Pelodiscus sinensis: one gene and its partners. The protein of the gene in region 1 purifies or fractionates together with the protein of each later gene. This does not show direct contact. Links are inferred from orthologs where the notes say so. Each region holds a gene or a part of one and is shown in the gene's direction. Other genes may lie near its edges. The genes, in order: SLC6A15, GPAT3 and GOLGA5.

Region 1 (10,366 bases):
GATCTCTGCACTGGACCAAGAAGGCATGCACCTTTTCCGGCCCCTGGGGAGCTTGCAGACTGCTCCTGGGGAGTGGTGGAGGACTGGCTGGCACTGGCTGCCTCACTCATGTTGAGGCAAGTGGGTCAGGGGCAGTGACTGCTGGCTTTGGGCTGGCAGGCCCGGAGCTGGCAGAGGCACTGTGGCCAAACAGACTCTACCTTTTTAATGGCTCCTGGGAGGGTGGGGAGAAGAGAAGTTTTCCTGGTTGTGGCTAGAGTGGCCACCAGGACACCCTGGGAAGTGCTGGAGGCCCTCTATTTCAAAATAAGTGTCTACACAGCTCTTATTTCGAAATAGCAATTTCAAAATTTGTGTTCTTCCTCATGGAATGAGGTTTGCCAATTTTGAAATAAGCCCTCCGCTATTTTGAATTAATTTTGAAATAGCGGTTGGCTTGTGTAGATGCTAGTGAAGTTATTTCGAAATAACTTTGCTGTGTAGACATACCCTAATAGAAAAGTGCCATCTTTGCTTAACACATTTTTTGAGTGCCCCCCCCCCCATAAAATATTATTGCCCATCCCTGGGGAGAGCTGGTAGCACTTTCTAAATGTCATTTCCTTCTGTTACTTATAACTTTGTTGAACATCAACCATTCAACTTGAAGTTTTCCAAGTCAGATATATGCCTTTAGCTGAATATTTCTGGAGAAGTTAAGACAAAGTGATTCAGAGTCTTCCCAGAACTATGGTAGAGAAAATTATCTTATTTTTCCCATGCCAATAACTTCAAGAAACCTTTCTTTGAAATTCTCTAGAACTCCTTGTTTTGGAGCATGGATTTTAATTTTTGCAGTTGGGTCTATGTTAGAATGATATTGGAGTCTGTGCATTATCTCCCTTGTCTAAATCCAGATTGCTGTTTCCGTATGATGGTATCCATCTGTCCTTTCATTCTAGTCATGATGACTGTTGCTAACACTTTTCCTATGACAGACAAAAGTATTACTCCCCTTCATCTTGAGCGATTGTTTAGATCACCTTTCTTTAGTAATTTGATTATGATACCAAGAGTCCATTCTTTCACAATTTCTCCTCTGTCCATATGTTGTTGCACAACAAACAGATGACTTATTCCACATCTTCGTCTCCATATTTAAGCATCTCAGTATGAATGATGTCCAGACCAGGTGCCTTGTTATTTTTAACTTCTGCAATGTTTACCTTAAATACATCTATATTCTAAGTCTGATGGTTTATCATTATTAAATTCCAGTCTTATAATTTGTTATGGTTTGTTTAGCATTTCTTTGAGGTGTTCAACTCCTCTATTTTCTTGCTCCTCCTTTGTTTTCAGAATTTTTCCTTGTTTTCCTTTCTTTGGGACACTTCTGAATTTCGAGTCATACCCTGTTAACTGTTACAAGATTGTGTAGACTGTTCTTGGAACTGCTCCATCAATAGGATGGTTCAGGATGGTCACCCTAAGCTCTGTGCTTTGAAGGGCCATGTCATCCTATGGGTCAGACAGTCCACCATATTTGTGTTAGTCATGGGACTCAGAGCAGCCTGGAGATTACCTGGGAGGGCCTGATGTGGAGCAGCAGCAGGGGTCAGGCCCCCCTGCAGTTACCACAGTGGTGGGAGCCACAGGAAGCAGAGTGACACAGGGGTTCCAGCCAGGTAAGTCACTCCGCTTCACCTTAGCAACATGAGCTCAGAGGAGCAAAGCTGAGAGAGCCAAAGTGCTCCACAGCAGAGCAATCTAGATGGGAGATGGGCAATGGAGCAGAGCAGGCTGAAAGGTTGTTTCACTTCCCATGACTCCTGCTGCCATAATGACTGGGTTACTATCCAAGCGCATAGCTTATAGGAAACACTGAATAGAACCCAAGGTCTTTGGGCTCAACATTCCTCCATTGTCAGTGAAATCTACTGATGAAATATGTGTTCATTCCCCATTAGTGCTAGCTCATATAAAGGAAGACAACACACTATTTCTATTATAGCTCAGTTAGCTCAAGTGGCAAAGGCATATGGGGTGGATCTAAAGTTTCCAATCCTGCTGATGTGGTTGTCAACATGATGTCACACAATGGAATTTCAATTTTTTCATTATGCTTTTTATAAAAATATAGAAATTACACACAAATTCTCCTGATCATCTTAATTTGCCCCCCCTTGTGTTTATGCCTTGCAATACCATTTTAAATAACATACTCACATACGATTTTTTTCCACAGGACTCCTGCTTTATTCTGTGTATAGAATGGTCTTGATGCAAGGATGAATCAGGATTATGTAATAAATGAGGTTGTTGCTTGTAGGGCCTTGCCTCATTTGTTGTAGAATTTGAAGGGTATATGGTGAATGAGGCAGGCATAAAGGGAAGCAAAAGGGTAGTTTCATGACTAATATTATCCCTGCCTCTGCCACAGAAGTTCTGTGTGATGTTAAGTAAGTCATTTAATTCAAGCTTTTCAGAGGTGGTAATTCTCTGTGCTCATTTGCTGCATGCCAGACTTAATATCCTGAGGTTTGACTTGCTGCATTTGCAGAAATGCTGAGTATTCACAAATTCAACTGCAGTCATTTGAATGCTTTGCTTCAAAGTGCCATATAATGTGAAGCACTCTGAAAACTCAAGTCTTAGGTGTCTCAAATAGGGCACTCAAAATTAGCAGATGTATCTCTCTGTGCCTCAGTTCCCCATCTGTAAAATGGAGATACTACCCCCTCACCTTCAAGGAATGCTGTGAAGATAAATTAACTGTGGAGCACTCAGCTACTATTCTGAAAAATACCATTAAAAAGGTCATGCAGAGGAAATTAATAATTGATCTTCATAACAGTGTTTGAATAGTTTGCAGTAGATAAGGCCCAGGAGAACATGCTGAATAGTAATGAAAAAAAATATTGACTAGCACCTCACACAAGGTACGTCTACATTGCATGCTTATTTTGAAATAAGCTATTTTGGAAGAAACACTCTGAAATAGCTTATTTAGAAATAGCACGTCTACACTACAGAGAAGCCTCAAAATTAGTCAGAGGCAGGCTTCCCTAATGTGGACATACTCACTTGATTTAGAGACCCAGCAGGCACTGGGGAGTAATTACTGTGAATGACCCTGGGGAGGAGCTATTTCAAAATAGCAGCAGTAGAGCATCCACACTACTGCTATTCTGAAATAGTTATTTTGGAATCATAGAATACTAGAACTGGAAGGGACCTTGAGAGGTCATCAAGTCCAGTCCCCTGCCCTCATAGCAGGACCAAACACCGTCTCTAGACCATCCCTGATAGATATCTATTCAGCATGCTTTTAAATATCTCCAGAGATGGAGATTCCACAACTTCCCTGGGCATTTTATTTCAGTGTTTAAGCACCCTGATAGTAAGTTTTTCCTAATGTTCAACCTAAACCTCCCTTGCTTCAGTTTAAAACTGTTGCCTCAGAAACCTCAGAGGCCAAGGAGAACAATTTGTCTCCCTCCTCCTTGTGACACCCTTTTAGATACTTTAAAAGTGCTATCATGTCCCCTCTCAGTTTTCTCCTTTCCAAATTAAACAAGTCCAATTCTTCCAGTCTTCCCTTGTAGCTCATGTTCTCTAGACCTTTAATCATTCTTGTTGTTCTTCTCCAATTTCTCCATATCTTTCTTGAATTGTGGTGCCTAGAACTGGACACAACTGAGGCCTAATCAGTGGAGAGTAGAGTGGAAGAATGACTTCTCGTGTCTTGCTCACAACACTCCTGTTAATGCATCCCAGAATCATGTTTGCCTTTTTGGCAACAGTGTCACATTGTTGACTCATATTTAGCTTGTGGTCCACTATGACCCCTAGATTCCATTCTGCAATACTCCTTCCTAGACAGTCACTTCCCATTCTGTATGTGTAAAATGGATAGTTTATCCCTAAGTGTAGTACTTTGCATTTGGCCTTATTGAACTTCATCCTATTTACCTCAGACCATTTCTCCAATTTGTCCAGATAATTTTGAATTATGACCCTATCCTCCAAAGCAACTCTTCCCAGCTGCAGCCCTCCCAGCTTGGTATCATCTACAAACATAATAAACGAACTCTCTATGCCAATATCTAAATAGTTGAGAAAGACATTGAACAGAACCCATCCCCCAAAAGACCCCTGCGGAACCCCACCTGTTATGCCCTTCCAGGATGAATGTGAACCATTAATAACTACTTTCTGAAAAAGTTATCTGGCCAGTTATGCACCCACCTTATAGTAGTCCTATTTAAGTTTTATTTGCCTAGTTTATTGATAGTAAGATCATGTGAGACCGTCTCAAATGCCTTACTAAAGTCTAGGTATACCTCATCCACTGCTTCTCCTTCATCCACAAGACTCGTTATCCTATCAAAGAAAGCTATCAGATTAGTTTGACATGATTTGCTTTTTACAAATCCATGCTGGCTGTTACCTATCGCCTTATTTTCTTCCAGATATTTGCAGATGAATTTGTTAATTACTTGATCCTTTATATTTCCTGGCATAGAAGTTAAACTGACTGGTCTGTAATTTCCTGAGTTGTCCTTATTTTCCTTTTAATAGGTGGGCACTATATTTGCCCTTTTCCAGTCTTCTGAAATCTCTCCTGTTTTCCATGAATTTTCAAAGATGATAGCAAAAGGCTCAGATACCTCCTCCATCTCCTTCTTGAGTATTCTAGGATGCATTTCATCAGACTCTGGTGACTTGCAGACATTTAACTTTTCTAAGTAATTTTTAATGTGTTCTATTTTATTTTATCTTCTAAACCTACCCCATTTCCACTAACATTCATTATGTTAGGCATTCCTTCATCATCAGTTTTCTTGGTGAAGACCAAAACAAAGAAGTCATTAAGCACCTCTGCCATTTCCAAGTTTCCTCTCCCTTTTCACTGAGTAACAGGCCTACTCTGTCCTTGATCTTCCTCTTGCTTCTAATATATTTATAGAATGTCTTCTTGTTACCCTTTATGTCTCTAGCTAGTTTGTGTTTGCTATTCTTCATGGAATAGGTGTTATTCCTCATGGAATAGACACTATTCCTCATAGAATGAGGTTTACCGAACTTGGAATAAGCCATCCATTATTTCAAATTTAATTCAAAATAACAGAATTGCTGTGTAGACACTCGCATTGTTATTTTGGAATAACGGCTGTGATTCTGAAATAACGCTGCTGTCTAGATGCACCCTCAGTGAGCATCATCTATCCTGTGTACTGAATGAAGAAAAAGGTCCTGTAAGAAAAACAGTATGTGATCATATAATTAAAACTGTATTATTATGCATATTCACAAGAGAACTAAATTGATGTTTCACAGTGAAATGTCTCCCTGCCAATATATTGCAGTCCTTTAGAAGTCACCTACCATATTGCTGCAGAACTCATGCATTTTAACATCTGATCTTGAATTTTCGAATGTAATGCTCTTCATGATCAGAGCACACCTCAGGCCTCCATCTTGCTATTTTCCCAAATCACCTCTTCACCTCAACTCTTCCATTTTCCTACTGCTTCTTCCTCACTCCATCATCCACTGCTCCAGTCCTAGCACAACTACTCATCCTCGCTCTCCAGCCCCATCAATTCTACAGCATACAGCTGGACTTCTTCCCTGCTACACAACTCATCTCCTCCACATCCTCTTATATGTACCGTTCGCTGCTTACACTCTTGTATTCTTCCATCTCTGGGCATCCACCCTTCTTTTATGAGTATGTCAACCACAAAACACAGGTACCTGCACACATCCCTTCCCCCTGTTGCCTTACTGATCCCAATTTTCCATTCCCCCTGGCTGCAGCGGAGGTGGTGGGTCTGAGCTAAGGGCACAGTAAGAGCAATAACAGTTTCACTTTCCCATAACCCTAGGGCAGACATGTACCTTGCAGTTTTGCACTGAGGGTGCAGTAGTGGTAGCAAAGGGGAGGAGGATGAGAAGATGTCCATTGCCTTTGTGAGACAGGGCAAGGAGCACACTGCAGATGGCATGGCCAGTTCCAGGCAGGAGACAGGGTGGGGCCAGCTGGGGGCTGCTGATAATTCCTGAACACAAACAGCCTAAACAAACAGGTTGAAGGACCACCCGGCAGCTGAGCGGAATGGAGCACTAGGGGTCGCCGCCTTTCTCCACACCCCTCCCCACACCATCGCCCCCCATCCCTGGCTGAACAAGGAGAATGCAACTGCGGGCGGGTGTTGCATAGTTTCCTCTGCGTCAAGGGAGGTGCGGCTCCACTCCCTCCCCCCCTTCCTCTCCCCCCCCAGCCCTGCCTTCCCTCCTTCCACCGCTCCCCACCCCCTCGGATATTTTTTGTCCGCCTTTAAGCCGCCTCTGCATAGGACAGCTGGGCATATGTGCGCCAGCATCTCGGCTCCGTCACGCTCATTCATTCACTCCAAGCACCCAGCCTCTGCTGCAGGGCCTCGCTCCGGGGGCCGCCCCACAGGAAAGGTAGGTGAGGCGGCCGCACCGCCAGGCAGGGGGGGATGGCGGAGGTGGGTGGAGGGCTGGACGGGAAGCGGCAGGAGTCGCCATAAGATGCTGGAGGCTTTAGCCCTCCCGAGGCAGCGGTGCTTTAGTGTGCGCTCGTCAGCTGGACTTGGGGGGCTGAGCGGCGGAGGGAGGGGGGGGGGGGAGAAACACATGGTGGGGAGCCACGGTTTGTCTTGTAGATTAGTGCCAGTGGCGGGTTTGTGGACTGTAACGAGAGATCCCCCCCCCCACTCCCGCTGCTTGTCTATAGACAAGGGGGGGGGGGTGTCTTCCCTCCCGGCGTTTCCTCCGTTGCGGGCACCAGGAGCATTGCCACAGACTCATCAATCCCAAGGAGATACCCCTGGCTGGATTGAAAGTCGCCTGGTCGGTGGGAAAGTCGCCTGTCGTTGCCCTTGGGGAGACAGTAGTACGGCCAGATGGAAGGGGGCGCCGCGTGCTTTGTTTCAGTGGGGGGCGGCTTTTTGTTTCTCTTTTGGCGGGGAGTTCCTTTCCCTCGTGTGAACGAACCCAAAGCGTTTCCTTCGGGTCCTGCCGGCTTCAAAACGCCTGGGTCGCCTGCGCGTGTCTCCAGCTCAGGGAAGGACCATGGCATCTGGAGACATACGTTTCTGGATGTAGCTATTTCGGTGGCTCCAAGGCGTATTAGCAGGGAACTGCCTGATCTTAATCAGGGATGAAAGGATGAATAGCGCCGGTCGCGCTTGTAGCGGTTCCCAAATCGGAATCTCTCTAATTCCGGACTGCGACTGGAGGAGAGATTAGGGAAATAACCTCAGAAGGCAGGATCTGCTCAGAGGAGGCGATTGTCACATTAGTTTGGAGATCGGGGTCTGGGGCCAGGATCTGAGATGGTTTTAGCAGTGGAAAGGAAGAGGTCCGGATGCTGTCTCATTCTATGTAGCCATGCAGCTAGTGATCCGGCTGGTGCGTGCTCCCTCTTCCCCCGCCTTCCGTAACCCAGTCTGGCTGGAGTAACTCGGGGGAAGGCACCAGGCTTGGTCTTCTGTGATGACAGCCATGTTTGGGTGGCTATGTTAATGAGGATCTCTCCTCAATTTTTTTTGGTCTTAGATTCCTCCCCCGTCCCTCCCCCCCGCATTTTAAGGCTCATACATCCTTTCCAGCGCACATATACACAAATATATTCTAAGGGAGAGGAGAGATTCAGGCCCATCATTTTCATGCTGTGATTGGACTCTGCGGCTCTTGGATTCCTTTGATAATCCTCCTTATTGCCTACATGCTCCTGTAATGTTTTCCTTTTGGGGCTGCTAGTATGAGCATGAATTGCCAGCCATGCAGTGAGGTTTCGCATTTCTCTGTCTTGCTTGGATTTGATAGAGGACGCACATAGGGTTAATAGATATCATGCCATGATGCGCATAGGGATGCAAAGGAATGTAGATTTCAGTTGCTCCGAATTTAATTGTATGTGTTAAATGTTAAATCACCGTCTTCTATTACTGTGGGAATCAGCCATTTTAGATTATCTGGTATTTAGTATTGCTACATATCAGTTGCGGTGGGTGTAGGAGCTTTGGTATAGGAGAGAGCCTATTTTCAAAACACAAGTCTTCAAAACACTGTCTTTCAAACATAGTCTTTTAGGAGGCAATCATTACTTTTAATAGAGGATAAAAATGCTGTTTTCTTTTGTTTTCTTTTTCCCTCAAAAATGCAAAAATCAGCATGCTGAACAATAATGATTTTCTGAGAGTCAGGTGTTACATCAGACATTAAGCCTGTGCTAAGATATGTTCCCCAGACAACTTTCTCGCTTTGATAAAAATGACAAAAGCTCCTCATGGTCCTTGTGTTTCAACTTTCAAGACATCTATTTGTATTGGGTTTTTTTTATTAGAAAGGAAATTTAGTTAACTAAATGTTAGGATACCCAAATCAGGATTTCTCCATTTTGGATTTCTTAGCCATTATAGAAGTCTTGAATTTATAAATGGGAACAGTTAAGAAAACATCTTCTTGCATACAGACTGCTCCCTAGAAGGTCAATACTACACTCTAACTACAAGAGGAGGGCAACTTCCTGTTGATTTTGATCTTAGAATTCAGAATTGGGTTCTTTCATAGAGGTTCACATGTGCCAGCAGCAGTGAAAGTAAGAAGTTGCTGATGCAATTCAAGTTGCTTTTGCAGAATACAGCTGATGCATTGATTCATAGATTCCAGGGCCAGAAGGGAACACTGTGACCATCCAGTCTGACCACCTGTATAGCATAGGTCATAGGTCACCCCAAAATATTTGCATATCTTTTAGAAAAACAGCCAGAATTGATTTAATAAATTGTAGGTGATGGAGAATCCAACACAACACGTGGTAAGTTTTTCAAATGGTTAATTACTCTCACTGTTAGAAAACATATGCTTTATTTATTGTCTGAATTTGGGTTCTCTCTATTTGAAAAGTGTTTGTATCTTTTAATATTAAAATACAATATTTTCCTTCATGTTCTTTCCCATCAAATACCTCATTGTCATCTTCTTTGGATAACTATCTCATGATGTAAATATCAAAAGCAGTTTTTCAGACAAGTGATTTGACAACCACATGTTTCCGTGAAGGGGCTTTCATGTTGTGAAATTATTTTTGCTGAGTTACAGAGACTTTTGTCCTCACTTGCTGTTTACCATTTCAATCCTCTTTATGCAAAATAATACCTTGTCACCACTTAAGTATTAAGTTCTATAAAATCTAATATGAAATTACAGTTGATTGAATTAAGATATCTGACTAAACCACTTTAGTTAATGCGGGCTTTTAGCATTTTTGGTCCTTGGGAAGAGTTGGTAACAATCCCTAGATTAACATTGCATACCATGTTGTCCAACCAGTTCTGATTACTGCTATAGCGAACTAGTCACGCTTACCTAGCCAAATAGCCACATTGTTACATTGTTCAAACCAAACAGTCACACTCAACCAGCCAAATAGCCACATGTGGCTATTGGCTGGTGTGTTGGACACCACGGGCCTAATAGTTTCTATTATAAAATATTCTTGTGACTTTTTTTTAGAGAAATGCTAACGTATCTACTGTTTGCTGCAGGCCTCAGTTATTGCTTTATACTGGGATTTAAACATCCAGATGTCTAGAATGAGGCAGTAGTACACATGCTGAAAGGCAGGGACATAGGTGCTTAAAGAAGTTTTGCTGCAAAAATGTAGGTGATGAATGAAATTAGACAGTAGCTGAACAAGGTGTTTGTATTTAGTAGTGGTGCATTTAGGTGCTTAAAGTAGAAACTAGGAAGCTAATTCTCCATGTGAATCTGGCCCCTTTGTAATATTTAAAATACCTTTATTTACTTTCCTACCGCAACTAAGGCTCAAGGAATAAGGGTTTTTGCTAAGCTTTTTATCATAATGCAAAGGCAAACTCATGATTAGGGCAAAAAAAGGAAAATCCATGTACATTTGCTTTTGTGCCTTGTGTTGACCAGGTGGATGTTTTCGTCACTACATGTCCATTGCCTTCCTCCCAATTACAATTGAAGGCGTGGAGACTTAAGCAGGAGTGCTGAAACAATTTCTATAGCAAGGTGCTGAAAGTCCTTGAACAGAACTGTAAATTCTATATATCAGAGTTTCCCAGAGTGTGCTCCATGGAGCCTTGGGCCTCCATGCGATTGGTCCAGGGGCTTTGCCAGAAAATATCAATGACAATTGTATAATCCTATTATTTTGTAACTAATTTTCTGGTTGTTTTCTTGGGGGAAAAAAAGAATTTATAAGAAATATACAAGAAATAAAAACAGAATACCAAAACTTTGTCTATTTATTTGAGTATCTATTGACTTAAAAATCACAATACTTAAAGGGTTCCTCCATATTTTCAGGACTCCATAAGGG
Region 2 (9,800 bases), on another chromosome or scaffold:
GCTGCTGCTTTTTTTACGCACGGAGCTTTGTCAGAAAAAAGCACCAGTCTAGATGCGGATCTTGCGGAAAATAAAGCCTTTTCCGAAAGATCCCTTATCCCTCTATGAAATAAGATGTTTAAGTTGTTTAAACAAATGTGTTGCAATGGTGGAAAAAAAATGTTGCGTCTGAAAGCTGTAGGTAATTTTTTTTAAAGGGGTACTTTATAAAAAAAAGGTTGAGAAACACTGTGCTAAGCTTGTCCACATTTGAGATTGAGTCAGCAAACATTAATAAACGTAAGCCTTACAAAATCCATGTAAGATGGGTAAGGGTTGTTATCCCCAGTTTACGTGTGGAGAAATTGAGGCATAGAGACTTTCTTGGGATTTACTCAAGATCATACAACAGATCAAAGACAGAGCTAAAACAGAAGGCAGGAGTCCTCTCCACCAATTATTTTGCTTAAACTACTGTACTACAGCAGATGCAGTTCTGGGGGCAGCAGAAGGGGACAATGTCTTGCTATCCAAGGGCAAAGGCTAAGAGCATATGAGACAGTTTGGCAGCTGGGAAGGAACATGTGCACTAGGGATCTCTTGCTTATGCTTAGTAAACCTTCCCCTCTGCAAGTCTCAGCAGTGTAGAGATCCATTTCCTTCTTCAGAGGGGTTTTTATTGCCCTTTTCTTTTGTTGTCTGAGCAGCAAACTCAGTTAGCAAGGGGAATCGATTTGCATCATTCATCTTCACCGAGGAGGGTAAAACAACCAGTGTCTTTTGTCCTATTTAATGTCTGCAATAGTTTGGAGTCAATAGTCAGGACATGACACCTTCTGTGGGAGATTAGCACTTCACAGCCGTTAATGTTTCTCTTCAGTCTGGTGATTTATACAGTCCCAGAGGTTCACAATGCAACCACTTAGATATGACCTTATGTTATGGGATACAGATTAATGCATCTAGCTACTCACAAGCATTCCATAAAATCTAAACATTAAATATTATTCCAACCCTAATATCTGTTGTAACAATACTGACACATAAGTATGCCAGACTGATTCCCTACATATCTGTTAATGTTCAGTTTAGACATGAGGTCCTTGGCATGAGGTGGTACCTAGTCTCTTAGGTTATGTCTACACTACAGAGTTTTTGCGGAAAAACAGCCATTTTTCTGCAAAAACTCACAGAGCATCTACACTGCAAGCATGTTCTTTTGACAGTAAATTGACAGTACATCGAAAGAACAGAGAAGTTTTTGTGCAATTGGTATTCCTCTTTCTACGAGGAAGAAGCCTTTTTGCTTTTTCGATGCGCTTTTGCAGTGTGGATGTGCTCTTGCGCAATAAATTTTTGTGGAAGATATCTTCTGACAAAAGGTTCTTGTGCAAAAAGCTTGCAGTCTAGACATAGCCTTAGTGTCACAGGTTTTATGGAGAATTCCAGCTTCATTTAATTTAGGGGCCAGATCTCCATCTTGCAAAAATTAGTATAGTCCCATTAACTACAATAGAGCAATGCAGATTTACTCAAGATAAGGTTCTAGTCACAGGGTTTCAGACAGAAAGTCCTTGTTTGCAAAATAGTTTTGCTAATTCAAGCTAGGCTAGGCTTAGCCTAAATGACAATTAGTTCAGAACAGTGTGACATAAATATGCCTTATTCCCACACAGACTACAGATAAAATGTAAGGTTGGAACAAGTTTGAAAATGATTTATCACCGCAAGTGCAGGTTTATAACCGCTAGCGTTTTTTTTTTTTTAGAGAAAGGCCATAGTGCAAGGAGAGCAGTTTCTTTACAAGTCAGCAATTTTTTGTAGTTAACAACCAGTTATTCTTTGATCAGAATGCAAGCTATTCACTGAGAGTGAACTTTAACATCATTTATTACAGGGCTTTGCCAGCACCTCTGTAATTATCAGGACACTCTCAAATGACTGGGCATATTTTTCTGTACTGTACCTAGAGAAAAAGAAGAATCCAAGAACAAATCAAAAGCAGAATTGATTTTTTTCTGCTTCAGTATTGATGCTCTGCTCATTTAAAAGAAATATCCAAGGTGTGTGTGTGGTGAGGGGCAGGGAGACCCCTCCAAATTATAAAATAGCAGCTTGAGTTTGCATTTTCACCACCTTACTTAGGGCAGGTCTACAGCACAAGATAAGGGAGAAGATCTTACCATCCGATTTTGTGAAGTCAGAGGTCTGTGTCCTCACTGTGGGGAAGAATCAAATGTTGTCTGAAACATTACTGTCGATGCAGAGAGCTGAGGACCATGGGCAGCTTTGCATTCTGGGCCATATGCACAGTGCCCACTGGGTACAAAACTCGGTAGCAGGTAGCTAGGGGTTCATGTTGGCAACGTCCCAGAATGCATTCCTTTACACCCTCCCCTCTTGTGAGAGATAGCGGGGAGGCAGTGTGCTTGCACCTTTTAGTGCCCTGGTTGCCTGTGCAGATGCTATAGCAACGCGACCATGAAGCCTGTTGTGCAGGAAAGCATTGACATGCTCATGTGTCAAGTTCCTGGTGTGTGTTTAGAGACCATTGTGAAGTCCTCGGTGTCCATGGATAGAGCCTTGCAAATCTGTGGAGATGTGCTTAATATCTGCAAGTATCCGCATCAGCAGATGTGGATATACATGGCTCATTTTTGTGGATACGGATCAGGAAGTAAATTTTGTACCTAGAACCCTGCAAATGTGCAGATATCCACTTTATATCCACAGGTATCCATCCGCATGTAGATATGTATGAGTGTATGAGATATCTGAGGATCATTTTTGCAGATGCAGATGTGGATACAAATGTTGCATTCACACAGAGCTCTATCCCTGATTAGTCAATTATTGATATGTCCTTTAAATTTTTACTTTTAAAAATGATACAGCACAAATTATTAGCACAATTTTATATATATAAATACATACATTGCTAACTACAGTTTGTGTACATATCTCATAACAATAATCAGGTTCAGAATAGTACTAGCTTTCATAAGGAATTTAACTTCACAGTAATATTATATAAATACAACCAGTTGATTGAATTGTGTATTTTTTTGGGTTTCTCTTTAGGAGTTTCTGGATCCTGATTGTCAGAGAAATATAGTAATAGAAAAAAAAATTCCCAGACGCCGGCAGCTTCTCTTTTCTTTGCTGCAGTCTAGTTAGCCATCTATTCAAGTAGATTAGGCTCTTTTCATGTCTGTATAAACCATTGCCTTGAGAAATTGTATTTTTCCAATTGCAAAATCCAGATTTGGTAAAAAATCACAGCAACTCCCATTCCACCAGGATTACCAGGGTGTGGATACAAATCAACAAGGAAAACAAATGGTCTTATCATGCCCCTCCTTAATTACAGGGTCTGAGTCAGAACATCTGTCACCGACTCAGACATAAATTCACTATGTGTCATTGAGCATGTCACTTAATATTTTTTCTGGTCTCAGTTTCTCCAGTTTACTGCAAACTGGAAAAATGTTACTTTCCTCCATAATGGAGTGGTTTGATGTGTACAGATAAAAAGCTATCCCTATAAACTCATTGTGTTGATGATTCATTCATTCATTTAGTATGATTAATAATTACTTGTATTATTATCCCAAGAACTGTAATTATCCTTAAGCTATTCCTTCTCTGTTCTCTCTCCGATTGATTTTCTCTTTCCTACAAGGCAGAATGCTTTTTTTTTTTTAAACAAAAACCAAACGAAAGTCCAAGCAAGCAAGCAAGCAAGCAAGCAAACAAAAAAACCCAGACTAGGCTGGGGTTGGAGTAATACAAAGTTTATGGTAAAACTGTCTCTCTGCTAAGTGAATTACGGTACACAAAGGCTGATAACTTTTCCTGTCTGTTGATTGCAGCAGAAGATATACATGAGCCAGCCCTCGCCTGGTATATTTTTCCTTAATACTCTTTGTGTAGAAAATCCTGAGACAGGTAAGAATTATGTAGTTATTGTATTATAATTCAGGGTAATGACCATTCAAATTATTTACAGCTGATTTCTTAAAAGGTTGATTTCTTAGGAGTTAAATGCATAGCTAAAGTGTTTTGCTTAGTGCTGTATGTTTTCATTTATCTTTTAAAAAATGGTAAAATAGCCTAAGGCCATTTTTTAAAAATTAAAGTTGCTGTTCGAGCTAAAGGCTGAATTGTTGGCAGTTATTTTTTTCCAAGAAGGAGAAGCCCCTTCTAGACATTTAGCAAGGAATGTATCACTCATGTTCTCTTTATAAACCCGGTCTTGTGTTTGTGCTCGCTTCCTTTCCAGAAGTCTTAGCATGCTGTGGCTGTTGAAACTTTTCTGGCCCGCATACCTGTTTAGAGAAGGGATCTCAGAGGCGCTAATTTAGCTGCAAGGCAACCATATGCTGTCTGAATGATCCTATGAGATGAGGGGAATTATCTTGAAAAACGCGTATCTCGAGGCCTTATGTGGACCTGGGGGAGACGGAGGAAAAACCAGCGAAGAGAGGGGAATCTCATTAAAGTTACTAGGTTGGAAGTAGGTTGAGGACTTTGAAAGTGCTGGGGATTTCTTCGAAACGGGCTTGATAGATTTAACGCGATTTTTTGAAGTGTCCTCTTACTCTCCCCCTTTTCTGCTACTGAAGGTAAAAAACACCTCCCCCTGGAAAAAGGACAGGAAACTTTCTGGGGACAATCCACCAGGGTCTCTTCGCTGTGTCCCCAGCCCAGAGGTGCATACGTGTGTGCCCGAGCATTGTTGTGCTGCAGGATGCGATTGAAACTGCTGTTACCTCACCCACCTTAGCTCTGCACTCAAGCCTAGTCAGTTACACCTGGGAGAGGGCGTGAGCCACAGGCAATTTGGGTTCCCTCTTCAGTGCCCCCCGGTAGCCGCTCCAAGCGTATGGGACCCGAGGGGGGCACAGACCCCGACCCCACCTCCTCTCATCTGGGTAGACCCGCTGGATTTCCCCCACGTGCTGCAGTCGTGACCCGCTTTTGTTCCTTCCCTGCAGCTGTTGGCTGGCTCCGGAGCAGAATTAGTGAACGAGGTGGAGCAGGAGGGTGGCGGAGGCAAGGGCCGCTCTCGGGCTCTGACCATGTTTTTCCTCTTGCCCCTCAGCTGCCAGAGGGGATCCAGGAAGCCGCGGGAGAGACTCGCATCTGGAGCGGAGCTTCCAGCCACCATGGAGGGCCTTCTCCTGATTGCAGCCCAAGTCATGTCCGTCTGGTTCACTCTGGCGTTTACACTGATAGTGCTGCCTTCCGTGTTCGGACTGTCGCTGGGCATTTCTGAGTTCTACATGAGAATTTTAGTGAAGACCCTGGAGGTAAGTTGGTGGCCCTTAAAAGTGTTTACTTAATAAAAGGGGGCGAGAGGCTGGGGCGCTGCGTATTTCAGCGTCCTTAATATGTTTCCAGTAAAATCTTCTGGTTTGTGGCAGTAAATCTGCTGTGACTTTGGCATAAACACTTATTCCGTGTGAATCGGTTTCTCTAACCGTGTGAATCCGTGTGAATCGGTTTCTCTAACTCAGGAGGGTGTGTTCTCCCTCTGCAAAACGTGTCCCTCTGCCAAAGGCTGGCTAGTCAAGACTAGAACACTAGTTCCTGGGAATGCTTTGTGTTTTACAATCGTAAATCCGAGCTAATGTTGCGCCTGGGGTCTCATGAAATGTCTCCCTTGCCACTGCTCCAATAAAGGACCTGACAGGCCCGCTATGCATACAGGAGATATCCAGGTGAAGTACAGGGCATCCCCACTATAAGTCACCCCAGTATACATCCGTTCCACACTACAAGTCATTGCTTATAGGAATGGATGCATTTTAGGTCCTCCTATTTCCCCGCTCTTGAGTCATGCAACCCCCCCACCCCAAACCCAATCAGTACAAATAGAAGTCAGCTGTGGGGAAAAAATTCACCCCCTTTAAGTTGTTTTACTATCAGTCCAAGTTTTTTGGAATATACCTTGGACTTATAGCAAGAACGGCCTGCATAGTCAGTGAAGGAGGTCAGCTCCTGCTTAAAAAGAAACTATTGTGAAACTCCACAAATTCAGAGTCACTTCATGCCAGTTTGAACCAACAAAATCAGTTTCCTTGCTAAAATGTTCTGCTGTGTGTTCATCCACACTTGCAATAGCATAATAGTCAACGGTGACTGTAAAAGCTCCAACAGCCAGTGACTATTTTAAAATCGCATGTACTCACCCCTGGGAACCCTTGTCAGGCATCAACATTCTAGGCCAGGGCTACTCAACGCACTGCTCATGGGCTGCATGCGGCCCGCGGCCTGTTTGTTTGCAGCCTGCAGTGCAGTTTGGATTTACGGTGTGGTTTGGGTTGATAACTTTTAGTAGTTAAATTCAGAGTTGTTGACTCGAGTCTCATGACTTAAACTTGAGTCTGACTTAAGTCGCCTAGGTGACTCCACTTGAGCCTCAACTCGGGTTCATTGTTTGTGACTTGAGACTCGACTTGAGACTTGCTAATTTTGTTAAATCAACTTGGTGAAAAAATTGTCCTAAAATGCCGATATTGATGACTTGTACAAAAGCGACTTGACATTTTTTAAATTAAGACTTGAGACTCGACTTGGACTTGACAATGGCAACTTGAAGACAACACTGGTTAAATGCCTGGACCGTTGTGAAGCCAAAACAAAAAAGTAGTCCATATAATGGTCTTCTGTTGATATACATTTTAATAGTTAAATTCCTGGAACTACTCATTAATTAATTCCTGGAATTCCATTGCTCATTAAAAGTGCTGTCATATGGGTGGAAATTGGGTAAATATTGCATTTTATTAATATCAGAAGAACTGATTTAAATGTGGCCTGCATGTTGTGTAGTCTTGCCTTAATATTTGTATTCATGCCTGTCAGTGTGAAAGAAGCTATTTGCATGTATATGCAATCACACTTAATTTGTGGCCCATAGCATGTGTTGTGAGTATCGTTGTGGCCCCCTGTAGCTTTCAAAGTTGAGTAGCCCTGTTGTAGGCTGATATCCAGTCCCTGGATGGGGAAGGGTAAGAACATCATGTACCTTGCTTGCAGTATTCTGCCTTCCTCTTCTTTTTAACCTCTGACAACAGTCTTCTGTGCCAAGCTACTTATGAGTTATAATTAGGTGATCAGCTCTGAATCTCAGTCTTGCTGTCTATTGAATTCTTATATTTCCTAAATTTCTATGCTATCCAACAGGGGAAGGTTAACTTACTTTTAAATTAGTTTGATGAAAGAATGGGTGCATGTGTTTGCCACCTCCCAAGTAGGTTGTCCAACCAGTCCTGCACTATGATAGATACCCAAGCAGCTACTGAGAGAAAAATCTAGTTCTGATGTTCTATGGGGCACTTTCTTAAGGCTAAACTTTAAAAAATGCTCTTCTTGCCTCACTTTTCCCAGATGAAGCAAGAATCTCTGTTGGGATAGGAGCTTACTTTATATTGCCTTGACGTGTCCCTGGCACTTCAGTAGGATGTCCTGGATCAGACTCCTTGTGATGTAAATCACCACCCTGCCTCCTGTTGTGCTGTATTTCAGTCACTTGGCACCTAAATCCTCACAGTATTGGCACGGATGGTCACACACACAGCTTCTTGAAGTGATGAATTTGCACAGCAGTTCAGCTTCCTGTCTTCTAAATGGGGTATTTGTGAGGGCTGAACTCCTTCTTTTCCCCTGCCATTTTCCTCCTCTATGGAAATCGACCTCTCCAGGAGAGTGCTGGCTAGGGGTGGGCTGAAGGTGGAATGTGTGTGAAGTTCTAGAAGAGCAAAGGGGAAGGAGGAGCTAATGTTGTACCAGCCTCTTGAAAATGTAACTAGGGTGACCTGGGTAATCAGAAGCTGTGAAGCTCAACACTAGTCCAAGGCAAAATTGTGGAAGGACATCTTGGGAATCAATCCAGTAACTCATGCTGCCTCGCTTCATGCCACTCAACAAGGGTTTTATAGAAAATGGATCTAGTTACACTCGGCGCTGTTCTGTGAGGTTACCAGTTTTGCTGAGATAATGTGTTCTGATGCCTTACGGAAGCTGGCGTGGGACCACACAACATTCTGAATTTTGTGCTATGCCAAAAAGTAGCACCTATTAAATGGGTTTTTTAATACTGGCAGCTAGATCTCAGAATAACTTTAAATACATGATGAGTTATTTCTAGTGGGGGTCCCACAACCCAGCACTAGTTATTGAGGTGACTCAGAGGTATCTGTCACTTGCCACTTCACCAGTTGTAGAGAAGAATGAGGCCATCTTGGTAAACTGGCCTGACTTGAGTACTGCACATCTCTTAAGCTGGAAGGTGATACTTTCTAGGAGCAAAGAATGTGTTTCCTGCTGCTAGGATGAGGGACGGTTGCTTGGAAAGCAGTGATGCAAAAGTCATTGTGTGCTAAGAGGAGGGCATGAGGGAGAGTCAGCTGAACATGGGCTGGTGATGTGGTGCCAGGACTGACTCTCAAAGGCTGTCCTCATGTGTGTAAACAGGAGACCACTGAATAAAACCAGGGAGGCGTTACTCTGTATATGGAACTAGTGAATTGATTACTGCAGTACTGTGTCCAGTTCTGGTGTCGTCCTAAAAAGGCTGTTGACAACTTAGATGGATTCAGAAAAAGAGCTGTAAAAATGATCTAGCATTTGGAAAGCCTGACCTGGCGTGAGAGACTAATCAGCTCAAGCTATTTATGTATCCATTAGAAGATTTGCCCGGCATTGCTTGGGTCCTTAACTCAATTTAAAAATAAAATAAAATGAAAATGTACATGCTTTCAACCATTGCTCTTAGGTAGGGTTGGGGACGAGGGGCTCAGTGTGCAGGCTGGCCTGAGGAGAGAAGGACTATCCCTGCCCTCTCAGCAGCTTGGGGCCAGGTGAGTCGTGTCTCTCCATGGCCACTGCAGCTCCAGCAGGCACAGCCGGGGGAGGGGTGCATGTCCCCTGGCTGGGGCAGGTCCCGGTTCTTCTGCCCCCTGCACTCCTCAGCCAGAGTGAGGAATGCAGCAAATTGTGCACTTCCCCTCGCTTCCTGGTGAAGGGGAACAGCCAGCAATGTTTTTGTAATATGGGGGAAGCTTCAGCTCCCCACCACCCTTCCTAAAGTGCACCTGGGGGTGCACGGCTCAGGGCTGGAGTGGTCCTGAATATGGTAGAGGGATGCACCACTAGTCAGCCCCTTTCATTTGTTGTGTGATTGTCTCTTTTCTGTATGAGAAGCAAGCCCATTCCAGTCACATCCCATTTTCTGGCACAACCAAACCCCTGACCTTGCTAGGATAAGAGGATGCTGTATATCCAATTTGGTGGTCCTGGCTCTTACCAATTAGGAGTTCTTATACAGACGGACAAACTCTTTCAAATATATAGGAGAAGAGACTGTCTGGAGTGACGTGACTATGGACAGCTTAGAATGGTGTTTACTTGTCTAGCAGATGAAGGTATAATGTTATCCAGTGGCTAGAAGCTGAAGTTAGAGGAACTTTGACTAGCAATAACCTCAAACCTTTAACAGTGAGGCTACGTCTACACTGGCAGCTTCTTGTGGAAGAACAGCCGTTCTTCTGCAAAAACTTGCTGGCTGTCTACACTGCACGAGCATTCTTCCAGAAGTAAATTTACAGTATAGCATTGTAAAACAGGGCTTCTTCCAGCAGAGTTATTCCTCTCCCCACAAGGAATAAGCCCTGTTGTGCAAGAGTTCTTCCAGAAGAGGTCAGCGTAGACAAGCAACATGAATTTCTTGCGCAAGAAGCCCCTATGGTTAAAGTAGCCGTCAGAGCTTTCTTGCGGAAGAGAGCGTCTACACTGCCAGGGATGCTCTTCCGCAA
Region 3 (9,496 bases), on another chromosome or scaffold:
TTATAGCTGGTTTCTGGGATAAAGGTTGCCAGATGGTTTAACCAAAAATACTGAACATGCCTCCCTGTCTCCCCCATCCCCCCCAAAAAAACACAGAGAAAAAATTCTGTTGAGAAAAAAAAAGGGGGAGACCAAAGTTCTTAAGGAAAAAAAAGACCCCAAGACTTGAAAAGAAAAGAAAAGAAAAGAAAAGAAAAGAAAAGAAAAGAAAAGAAAAGAAAAGAAAAGAAAAGAAAAGAAAAGAAAAGAAAAGAAAAGAAAATCCATCATGGGCCCTTTAAGAAATGCTTATGAGGTTCTTTGGCCCTAACAGGCTGCCAGCAGTCATACACTATCTTGTCTTCCTGCTTTGGGCCAGACAGCTCCCCTGCAGAACCAGGTAAGCACCCGGTATTTTCACCTCCTGGCTGGGAAAAAAATCAGAAAATGCTGGACCCCCACCCGCACCCCCAGGCCAATCAGGTGAAGTCTCCTCCCACCCTGAAAGGGTCTCAGCACTTAAAGTCAACCACCAGCTGCTGATCAGTGGGCAGTTGACTCTAAGTGCAGTGCTTTCTTGCAAGGCTGGGGCAGAGAACGAGAGACTTCACATGCTCCCCCTCCTCAGGCCCTGATTGACCTGGGGCAGCAGGGGTGCAAACATGAAGTCTCCTTCCACCACCAGGGGCACAGGTACCAGCTGTTCAGAACTGCTGGTGGTTCTCTCCGGGAGAGGGGGGGACAAGACTTCGTGCACTTCCCCACCCTCAGACCAATCAGGGTCTGTGGATGGGGAAGCAGGAAGTGTCCTGGCCCTGCCCCTTCTGCTTGAGGCCCCACTCTTTCCAGGGCAGCCCGGGGCCACTTCAAGAATTTCTGAAGTGGCCCCATCAAAAATTATTGCCTACCCCTGTGCTAGAACTTGCAAGCTTTGAAGCAAGGACCTGAAACATAGAAACAGTGGAATCTGGCTGAAAGTCCTTGTAATGTTCATTACAGGTGAATTACACCCAAGTAGAACTAATAGATGACTAAATTTGGGGAAGATAAGTTGTGTACTTTTCAGACTGGGGTTGGGCAAATATATTTTGGGAATGACTGAAGGACCAGGAGAGTATGTATTGACCATGGGAATAAAGGCTGGTTCCATGATTAGATAGTGTCTATGATTTAGTAACCCTATGTTCAGTTCCCTGCTTTGCCAGATATCCCATGTGACCCTGGGCAAAACACTTAGGCCAGTGGTTCCCAACGCGGTGCCCGCGGGCGCCATGGTGCTCACCAGGCCATTTCTGTGCGCCCACCGAATGATCGGGGCCAACCCTGCCCCTGGGCACGTGGTGCATGGGCGGTGCTGGCTCCTGGGTGTGCAGCGTATGGGTGGCCTTGCCCCTGGGCGCGCGGCACAAGGGCTGTGCTGGCCCCTGGGCTTGTGGCGTACGGGCGGTGCCAGCCCCTGGGCGCACGGTACATGGGCTGCACCGGCTCCAGGTGCATAGCACATGGGTGCTGCTAGCTCCTGGGCGTGCGGCACAGGAGCGGCGCTGGCCCCAGGAGTGCAGCACATGGGTGGCGCCAGCACCAGGCATGCAGCGTATGAGTGGCCCCAGCCCCTGGGCACGCAGTGCAGGAGTGGCGCCGGCCCCAGGCATCTTGTGTAAGAGCATCCATGGAGTGTGGAATAGCGATAGAGATGCAGCCGTGTTAGTAGCACTTTAAAGACTAACAAGATGGTTTATTAGGTGATGAGCTTTCATGGGCCAGACCCACTTCCTCAGATCAATATGTGGAAGAAAATCAGCACAACCATATATACCAAAGTGATACAATCAAAAAAATTAATGCATGTGAAATTGACAAATCGAATTTTAGAACAGAGTGGGGAAGAGAGGGGAAGGTAAGTTTCTGTGAGGTAATGACATTAGGGGTGATAATTGGGGAAGCTATATTTGTAATGGGTGAGATAATTAGAGTCTTTGTTTAAACCCATACATAAAGTGTCAAATTTAAGCACGAATGACAATTCTGAAGCTTCTTGTTGAAGTCTGGAGTTAAAGCCTCTTTGAAGCAATATGCATGTTTTAAGATCATTAAGGGAATGATCAGTCTGGCTGAAATAGCAGGCAACAGCTTTCTCTCTGCGAGAGAGTCTTATATCTGTTTTGTGTGCATTGATTCTTTGATGAAGTGTCTGAGACATTTGTCCAATGTACATAGCAGACGGACGCTTTAGGCACATGATGGCATAAATTATATTTCTGGATGAACAGGAATATGTGTTCTTGATCTTGTAACTGGCATGGTTAGGTCCAATAATGGTATCAGCAGAGTAAATATGTGGACAATGCTGCCACCAGGGTTTATTGCAAGGGAAAATTCCAGGGTTGGTAACAGTGTGATATGTCCTGTGGTTGTTGGTAAGAATCATCCTGATGTTAGGTGGTTGTCTATGGAGGTATGTCTACACTACCACCCTAGTTCGAACTAATATGTGGTTAATGTAGTCAATCGAAGTGCAAATGAAGCCCGGGATTTAAATATCCCGGGCTTCATTTGCATCTTGCCGGGTGCTGCTATTTTTAAATCCCCGGTAGTTCGGACGCCGTGCCCACGGCTACACGCGGCACGGAGTAGGTAGTTCGAATTAGGCTTTCTAATTCGAACTACCGTTACACCTCGTTCCACGCCTAATTCGAACTACCTACTCCGTGCCGCATGTAGCTGTGAGCACGGAGTCCGAACTACCGGGGATTTAAAAATGGTGGCGCCCGGCAAGAGGCAAATGAAGCCCGGGATATTTAAATCCCGGGCTTCAATTACAACTTCAATTGACTACATTAACCACCCTAGTTCGAACTAGGGTGGAAGTGTAGACATACCCTAGGAGACTATGAGTCTGTCTCCCAGAGCCTCTCGGAGTGTAGTATTCTGTTCCAATATAGGTTGTAGTTTATTGATAATGCATTGGACGGGTTTAAGTTGGGGGCTATAGGTGATGACAAGTGATGTTCTATTGTTGGTTTTCCTGGGTCTGTCTTGAAGTAGATGGTTTCTGGGTATTCCTTTGGCTCTTTCAATTTGTTTTTTTATTTCTCCAGGTGGGTAATTGAGGTTTATGAATGCTTGGTAGAGATCCTGAAGTTCCTGAAGATCCTGAAGAGACCACAAACTGCCATGGATGCTCTTATGTAAAAGCATATGGCAGTGTGGACACGCTCTTGCGCAAGAACTTTTGCGCAAAAAGTTATTGCGCAAGAAGCCTGCAGTGTAGAAATAGCCCAAGTCAGTGGTCCCCAACCTTTTGCGGCTGCCGGGCGCCTGGGGGTCGGGGCCACCCATACGCTGCATGCCCAGTGCCGGTGCCACCAATGTGAGGCACTCCTGGGGCCGGCGCCGCTCCTGTGCCGTACACCAGGAGCTGGCATCACCCACGCGCTGCATGTCTGGGGCCAGTACCACTCCTGCACTGCGCGCCCGGGGGTAGGGCCGCCCATGTGCTGGGCGCCCAGGGGCTGGCACCGCCCATACGCCGCGTGCCTAGGGGCGGGCCAGGCCCACCCATATGCCGCACTCCTGGGGCCAGCACTGCTCCTGTGCTGCGCGCCCGGGGCTGGCACAGCCCATGTACCGCGCGCTCGGGGGCAGGGCCGCCCATGTGCTGTGCGCCCAGGGGCTGGCATCACCCATACGCCGCGTCCCCAGGGGCGGGGCCACCCATATGCTGCACTCCCAGGGGCCGGCACCTCCCATGCACAGCCAGATTCCATTGTTTCTATGTTTCAGGTCCTTGCTTCAAAGCTTGCAAGCTTTAGCACAGGGGTAGGCAATAATTTTTGATGGGGCCACTTCAGAAATTTTAAAGGTGCAATGACCCTTTTTTTGGTGTGGGGGTTTTTTTTTTTTTGGCTCAACCAATTTTTTTCCTGCTATGTTCAGTATTTTTTGTGAAAGTATCTGGCAACCCTAATTGCCTCCCAACTGGGTACATCACCAAGGCCGGAGGTGTGTGTGTACTGATTTCTCCCTTCTATTTGTCCCTGATTCCTCCCCATAGGATCATTTGCAGGAGCAAGTGGTGACATGCATCCAGGTCAGTTTCCCCAAGTGAGCTGTGTAAGAGGGCAGGAGAGTTGCTCTCCATACCTCAGGGAACAGCACAGCTGGGAAAACTGTCTTGGAAGCATAGATAGCTTGGTGTTGCTGTTCCCCTCCCAACCTCTAGGGGGCACAGAGAAATGTTGCACAAGGTCAGGTGCTCTGTGCAACCAGGTCTGTTTCCCCAATGGGGCTGCCTAAAAGAAGGGCAGGACAGCAGCTCCCGACCCTCACAGCAGAGTTCCAGCTCGGGGCCATTTCAGTTTTACTAGCTTATAAGCAGGGGTGGCCAGTCCATATAGGCGAACTAGGCGGTTGCCTAGGGCGCCAAGTTAAATGGGACGCCAAATGGAGGTGCAATATCATTGAGAGGTTTGGAAGTGGGGGCGCCGATTGCATGGTTCGCCTAGGGCGCCAGTTATTGGCAGCTAGTCTAGGGCTGCCCCTGCTTATAAGAGACTTGCCCCAGAAACGCGGGCCTCAGGACATAGGGGCCACATTCTAACCTGCATGGGAAGCTGCTTCCTGAGCACCCGTGCAGCACACAGCACTGACTGTCCAGCCCCCAGTAGGGAGAGTGAACAGGGAAGGTTCACTGGGAGGGGAACATGCAGAGGCAGCTGGGCCAAAGGAGCAGGTTGTGCATGAGCAATGGGTGTGTGTGTGTGTGTGTGTGGGTGTGTGGGGGTGGGTGGGTGGGTGAGCGTGCCCACACACTGCATGTTTGTGTGTCTCTAAAGTGACAATGATTCAGTTGCCTGAGTTTGGCGCTGTTTAGTCAAGAATGTGTTTTTATGCTGATGTTGCGTTCCAAGTGGCAGTGGTAAACATGACAAAAAATAAGGATTAAGTAACAAACGCCATTCGACGTACACTGTAATTTAAGCACCACAACCACAGCTGGTCAATCCGGAAGTGACACCTATCCCTATTAATTGTTAACATTATTGAGAGCCCGGTTACGCCTACGGCTCCCCAATTGTTTAGAGGCTGCAGGAGAGCCTGGGGAGAAAGAGCGGGAAGCGCTGGGGACCCGGGCGGTAGCCCAGACAGGCTGTTGGCGCGGTGTGAAGCCTGGAAAAGGAAGCGCGCAGCAAGTGTCGCGGTAACCCCGCCAGGAGTGTTGCAGCACCAGGGCGGCACGATACTGCGCGGCCGGGGGCACCTAAGTTCTGTGAGTGCAGAGCGTCCGCTAGAGGCTGCTCTGCGTCATGCCTCGTGAATGTGTGTGTGGGGGGGGCGACTGGCGAGGGTATATGGGCGTTAGACCGGTTGCCCTGAACCGAGTGGGAGGGGCGTGTGAGAGAGTGGGGTCACGTTGAGCAGAGCTGCGGGAAAGGGTTTAGTGCGCATGCTCTGTCAGCGCTGTACACAGAGGCTGACAGTCTGCGGCAGTTCCAGCTCCGCCCTTCTCGCTGGAAACGCTACGGAGTCTCTCTCTGACTGTCTTTGCCCCTCCCTTCTAGAAAGGGCGGGATCTCATGGCAAGGGGCGTGGCCTCCTTCTGACCCTCCTTTCCCGGGGGGGGGGAATTAGCCTTGGGCCCTCCGAGCCTCCGTACCACAGGAGGCTGGTTCTGCCGCGCCTGCGCATCTGGCAGCTTGGTCCGGGGAGCGCCGGGTCCCTGTGTCCGCCGAACCACTGGCCACGTCTCCCGGAAGATGGAGTTGAGCTACCGAGTCCGGCCTGCGGCCTCTATGTAGCCGCTGCGGCCTCCGCCGCCGATTTATCCCCGCACCCGGCCGGCTGCTCCCTGCGGAGGCAGGGCGGGCGGCGGGCGCCGGGACAAGGTGAGGCCGGGGCTGTGTTGGGGCTTAGTTACGCGGGAGACGGGGCGCGGGCGGGCACTCGGCGGGGGGATGGGAAGGGCTTGGTGTGCGCGGGGGGGGGGTAGGGTGAAGGGCGACACCCCATTCTGAGCCTCTGCTCCTTCCCGCGTGTTGTGCTGCGGTGCCGACCCTACCCCCGCCCCCTCACTCGGGTCCACAGCGCTGCGCCATGGTCTCCTCCAGGGTCCAGGCAGGGCTGTGGGCTCGTATTGGGCACGAAACACCCCCGCCCCTCGCAGCACTGTCATGGCTGGCAGCCTACAGGGCGTCAGGACCAGCGATGGTGCTAAAGGTAGTTGGGTGCCTAGCCAGAGCTGAGGTTCTCGCCTTTCAAAGTCCGGTTCTTTGTGCCCATATGGGCCCTTCTCTCCAGCACGGTTAAAGGGGTTCACACCGTCCACAAGTTTAGGAGTTACACTTAGTTCGAACAACAACATTTGTGTTGGGCAGGAATTCCTGCCAGTGCTTCTGGAGAGGTCTGCATGCCACCTCTGCTATAGATTTGAGAGAGTCTGTTTGTGTGTAGGACCACCAAATTCGGTGTGCAGTTTTCTCTTATCGTAAGTTAAAGCAAGGTAAGTTGGTTTTGCCAGGAAAATGGGATGTGCCTGGAATGGGACTGCTTCTCATTAAGCCATACAGAAAAGAGAATCACCAGACAGGTAAAAGGGGCTGGAGGGGCTTTTCACCTGGCCCCAAGCTGCTGTGGTGAGAGAGGACTTGTGTAGTCCTCTCTCTCCAAGGCAGCCTGCATACTGAACCCCTCATTCTCAGCCCCACTCTAAAGCAATGATTTCAATGAAGCCCATACCTTTTTTCATTTTATTTTCCAGCCTCCCTCCCCCCCAGAAAAAGGTCCTGAGCAACACTGGATAAATCTTCTAGTGTCAAATAGACTTTTTTTATACTATATTCCTGTGGTTATCCACATTGCTTCATATTTCCCTCTCCAGCCAGTTTCTTATACTTTAATCTCCTACATTTCAGTTAGTCTATAAGGTGCCACAGGACTCCTCGCCACTTTTGCAGATTCAGACTAACACGGCTACCCCTCTGATCCTCTTGGAATGAGATCATTGGGGTTGCCACTGCTGCTAGCAGGTGTTGATGCCCTAAATGACTCTGCTGGTTTAGTAGCAAAAACTACTACTAGGAGGGGTCGTCCATAGGTAGTCCATAGCCCAAATCTGGATTGGCAGACTTTTTTTTTAACAGACCCCCAAAGTCTTTTTATTTACTTATTATTCATTATTATTTTTTAAAAGTACCTTGACCATGAAAATTTGAACCTTTACAAAAAAAATTGACTGTCCTGGGTCTGCATTTTCCTGTAAGAACATTTGATTTGGACACTCTAGTAATATAACATGGTAAAGAATGAAGCAAGGACAAAACTGTAGTTCATAACAAAAACCCAAATCAACATATATTTGATTTGTAACCATTTTGTGTCTCTTTGCAGCTCATGCTTTTGGGGTTCAACTCTGTAGCTTTTGTCACTAGACATCCGTTATGTCTTGGTTTGCTGATCTTGCTGGAAAGGCAGAGGACCTTCTCAACAGAGTCGATCAAGGAGCTGCAACAGCTTTGAGCAAAAAAGACAATACAGGGAAAGTAATATATGATAATACGGATTTGGAGTCTGCTAGTGAATATCCTGAACTGCACCAGCAAACCAGAGAATTAACATATCAAACATCATCTAAAGCAGACTATATTTCAACTGCAGCTGATAATATTATACACCAGAAAGCTACAATACTAGCTGGAACTGCAAATGTAAAAGCAGCAGCCAGGACGCCTTTAGAGGGCTCTCCTCCAGCCGAGAGTGTTTCCATACCCAGACCTTCTTCCCAGTTTGTGAGAAGGAAAAAGTCTGAACCTGATGATGAGCTTCTGTTTGATTTTCTCAATAGTTCTGAGAAAGGAACTAATGGAAGGATGGACCCTAAAAAGGAAAAGAACAAGGCAGTTCTTCAAAATCACTCTCAGAATTCAAGCATTAATTCTGTGCCTATAAGTACACAAAATATAAAAACTACTGAAGACCATTCTATCAGGAGTCCAAGCCATGGTAGCTATATGGAACTATAGATGTTTATTGAACTTAGGCATATTTAAAAATCACATTATGTGAAGAGTAACAAATTTACTGACAGTAAATGGAATAGATTGTAATAGGAGGGAAAGGTGTTTTAGAGTAATGATAACATGGTTGGGGGTCAAGAACCCCTTAGACCATCGTTTCCCAAACTATGGGCTGTGGCCGGGGGAAAAAATACTGGGCCTCAGCATGGCTGCTGGGAGGGGAGCGGGGTTGACTGGGAGGAGGTGTGTGTGTGGGGAAAACCAGCTGCCAGGAAGCAGGGTTGAGGGCAGCGGGACTGTCCAGCAGAGATTGGAGGAGCACACAGAGGAAGCAGGGGAGGCGGGAGCTGGCCGGAGGAGATCGGGAGGAGGAGGACAGGAGAACCAGCCTCTGAAAGCAGGGCTGGACAGGGGCAGTGCGGCCGGCCAGGGGAGATCGTGAGGAGAAGCAGGGGAGAATCAGACGGCTGGGAGGGAGTTGGGGGAGCGGCGCTGGTTGGGAGGGTTGTCGGGGGGAGCAGGGCTGGCCAGAGCAGATCGGTGGGGAGTCGGGGGGAACTGGCCGCTGGAAGCAGGGCTGAATGGGGGAGATTGGGAGGAGAAGCGTGGGGTGGGGAGTGAATCGGCCAGCAGGAAGCGAGACTGACCCAGGCACATGTAAACCCTGGCACACGAGTGAGTCCGGCTCTGGGGATTCCATTTTGGCTACCCCACCCCCTCCACCTCCCAATACCCTACCTCGAGTAGTTGCGAACTGCCTGGCTGGTAGATACACTCACGCAGCGTGAGCACATCTACCAGCCAGGCAGTTTGCAGCTACAGACTGATACACCTAATTATAATAAAACTTGCCTAATTAGAAAATACCGGACATTTTATGTCTGGTATTTTCTCAATTTGTTTCCCAGACAGAGCCCTCAAACTGGACAGTCCGGTACAAAACTGGACACCTGGCAACCCTACCCCTCCTTGCACCCTAGCCAGATACCCTACCCCCAATCTGCTCCTGCCTCCTGCAGTGCCCGTGCGGCACCAGGTCCCTGAAGCCCTGGCCCAGGCTGGGCAGAGGATGCAGCCGGGTGAATCACTGAACATTTATTCATTTTTAATTATTTTTTATATGCGTTTATATTTTTGGGCTGCAAAAACTGTACTGGAAAATAACCAGGTTCCAATTAAAGTAAAAAGTTTGGGAAACCCTGATCTAGCCAGCTTTCTATCCATCCTACTGTCCATTTATCCAATCCATATTCCCTGAACTTGCTGGCAAGAATATTGTGGGTGACTGTATCAAAAGCTTTGCTAAAGCTGGCACTGGGGGCTTTGGGAGGACCAGAAACAACTTATTTGAATATTCATCATTTGCTTAATGAATATGCAAATATGTTACCGGTCCTCCAAAAGCTCATGAATGGATTTACTGGTCCCCGTGTCAAAATGTTTGGGAAACCCTGCCTTAGAGCTAACCCCAGCTCTTCTGTTGATTCAAGACTCTTGGAGTAACC

Evidence for each region.
Region 2: the proteins of SLC6A15 (region 1) and GPAT3 purify together in Homo sapiens (co-immunoprecipitation; 3 studies listed by BioGRID and IntAct, counting the BioPlex papers as one, with this or other methods). This does not show direct contact. The link is inferred for Pelodiscus sinensis from reciprocal best matches to the Homo sapiens genes SLC6A15 and GPAT3.
Region 3: the proteins of SLC6A15 (region 1) and GOLGA5 purify together in Homo sapiens (co-immunoprecipitation; 3 studies listed by BioGRID and IntAct, counting the BioPlex papers as one, with this or other methods). This does not show direct contact. The link is inferred for Pelodiscus sinensis from reciprocal best matches to the Homo sapiens genes SLC6A15 and GOLGA5.

Annotation. Positions count from the first base shown.
Region 1 is NC_134711.1:74,517,504-74,527,869, reverse strand, and holds the start of SLC6A15 (sodium-dependent neutral amino acid transporter B(0)AT2), read left to right. Parts: upstream 1-6,254; 5' UTR 6,255-6,453; intron 6,454-6,642; exon of another isoform or gene 6,643-8,833; intron 8,834-10,366.
Region 2 is NC_134715.1:11,956,007-11,965,806, forward strand, and holds the start of GPAT3 (glycerol-3-phosphate acyltransferase 3), read left to right. Parts: upstream 1-5,041; 5' UTR 5,042-5,060; coding exon 5,061-5,291; intron 5,292-9,800. UniProt on the Homo sapiens protein: Converts glycerol-3-phosphate to 1-acyl-sn-glycerol-3-phosphate (lysophosphatidic acid or LPA) by incorporating an acyl moiety at the sn-1 position of the glycerol backbone.
Region 3 is NC_134714.1:30,347,403-30,356,898, reverse strand, and holds the start of GOLGA5 (golgin subfamily A member 5), read left to right. Parts: upstream 1-5,332; 5' UTR 5,333-5,864; intron 5,865-6,353; 5' UTR 6,354-6,478; intron 6,479-7,365; 5' UTR 7,366-7,415; coding exon 7,416-7,977; intron 7,978-9,496. UniProt on the Homo sapiens protein: Involved in maintaining Golgi structure. Stimulates the formation of Golgi stacks and ribbons. Involved in intra-Golgi retrograde transport.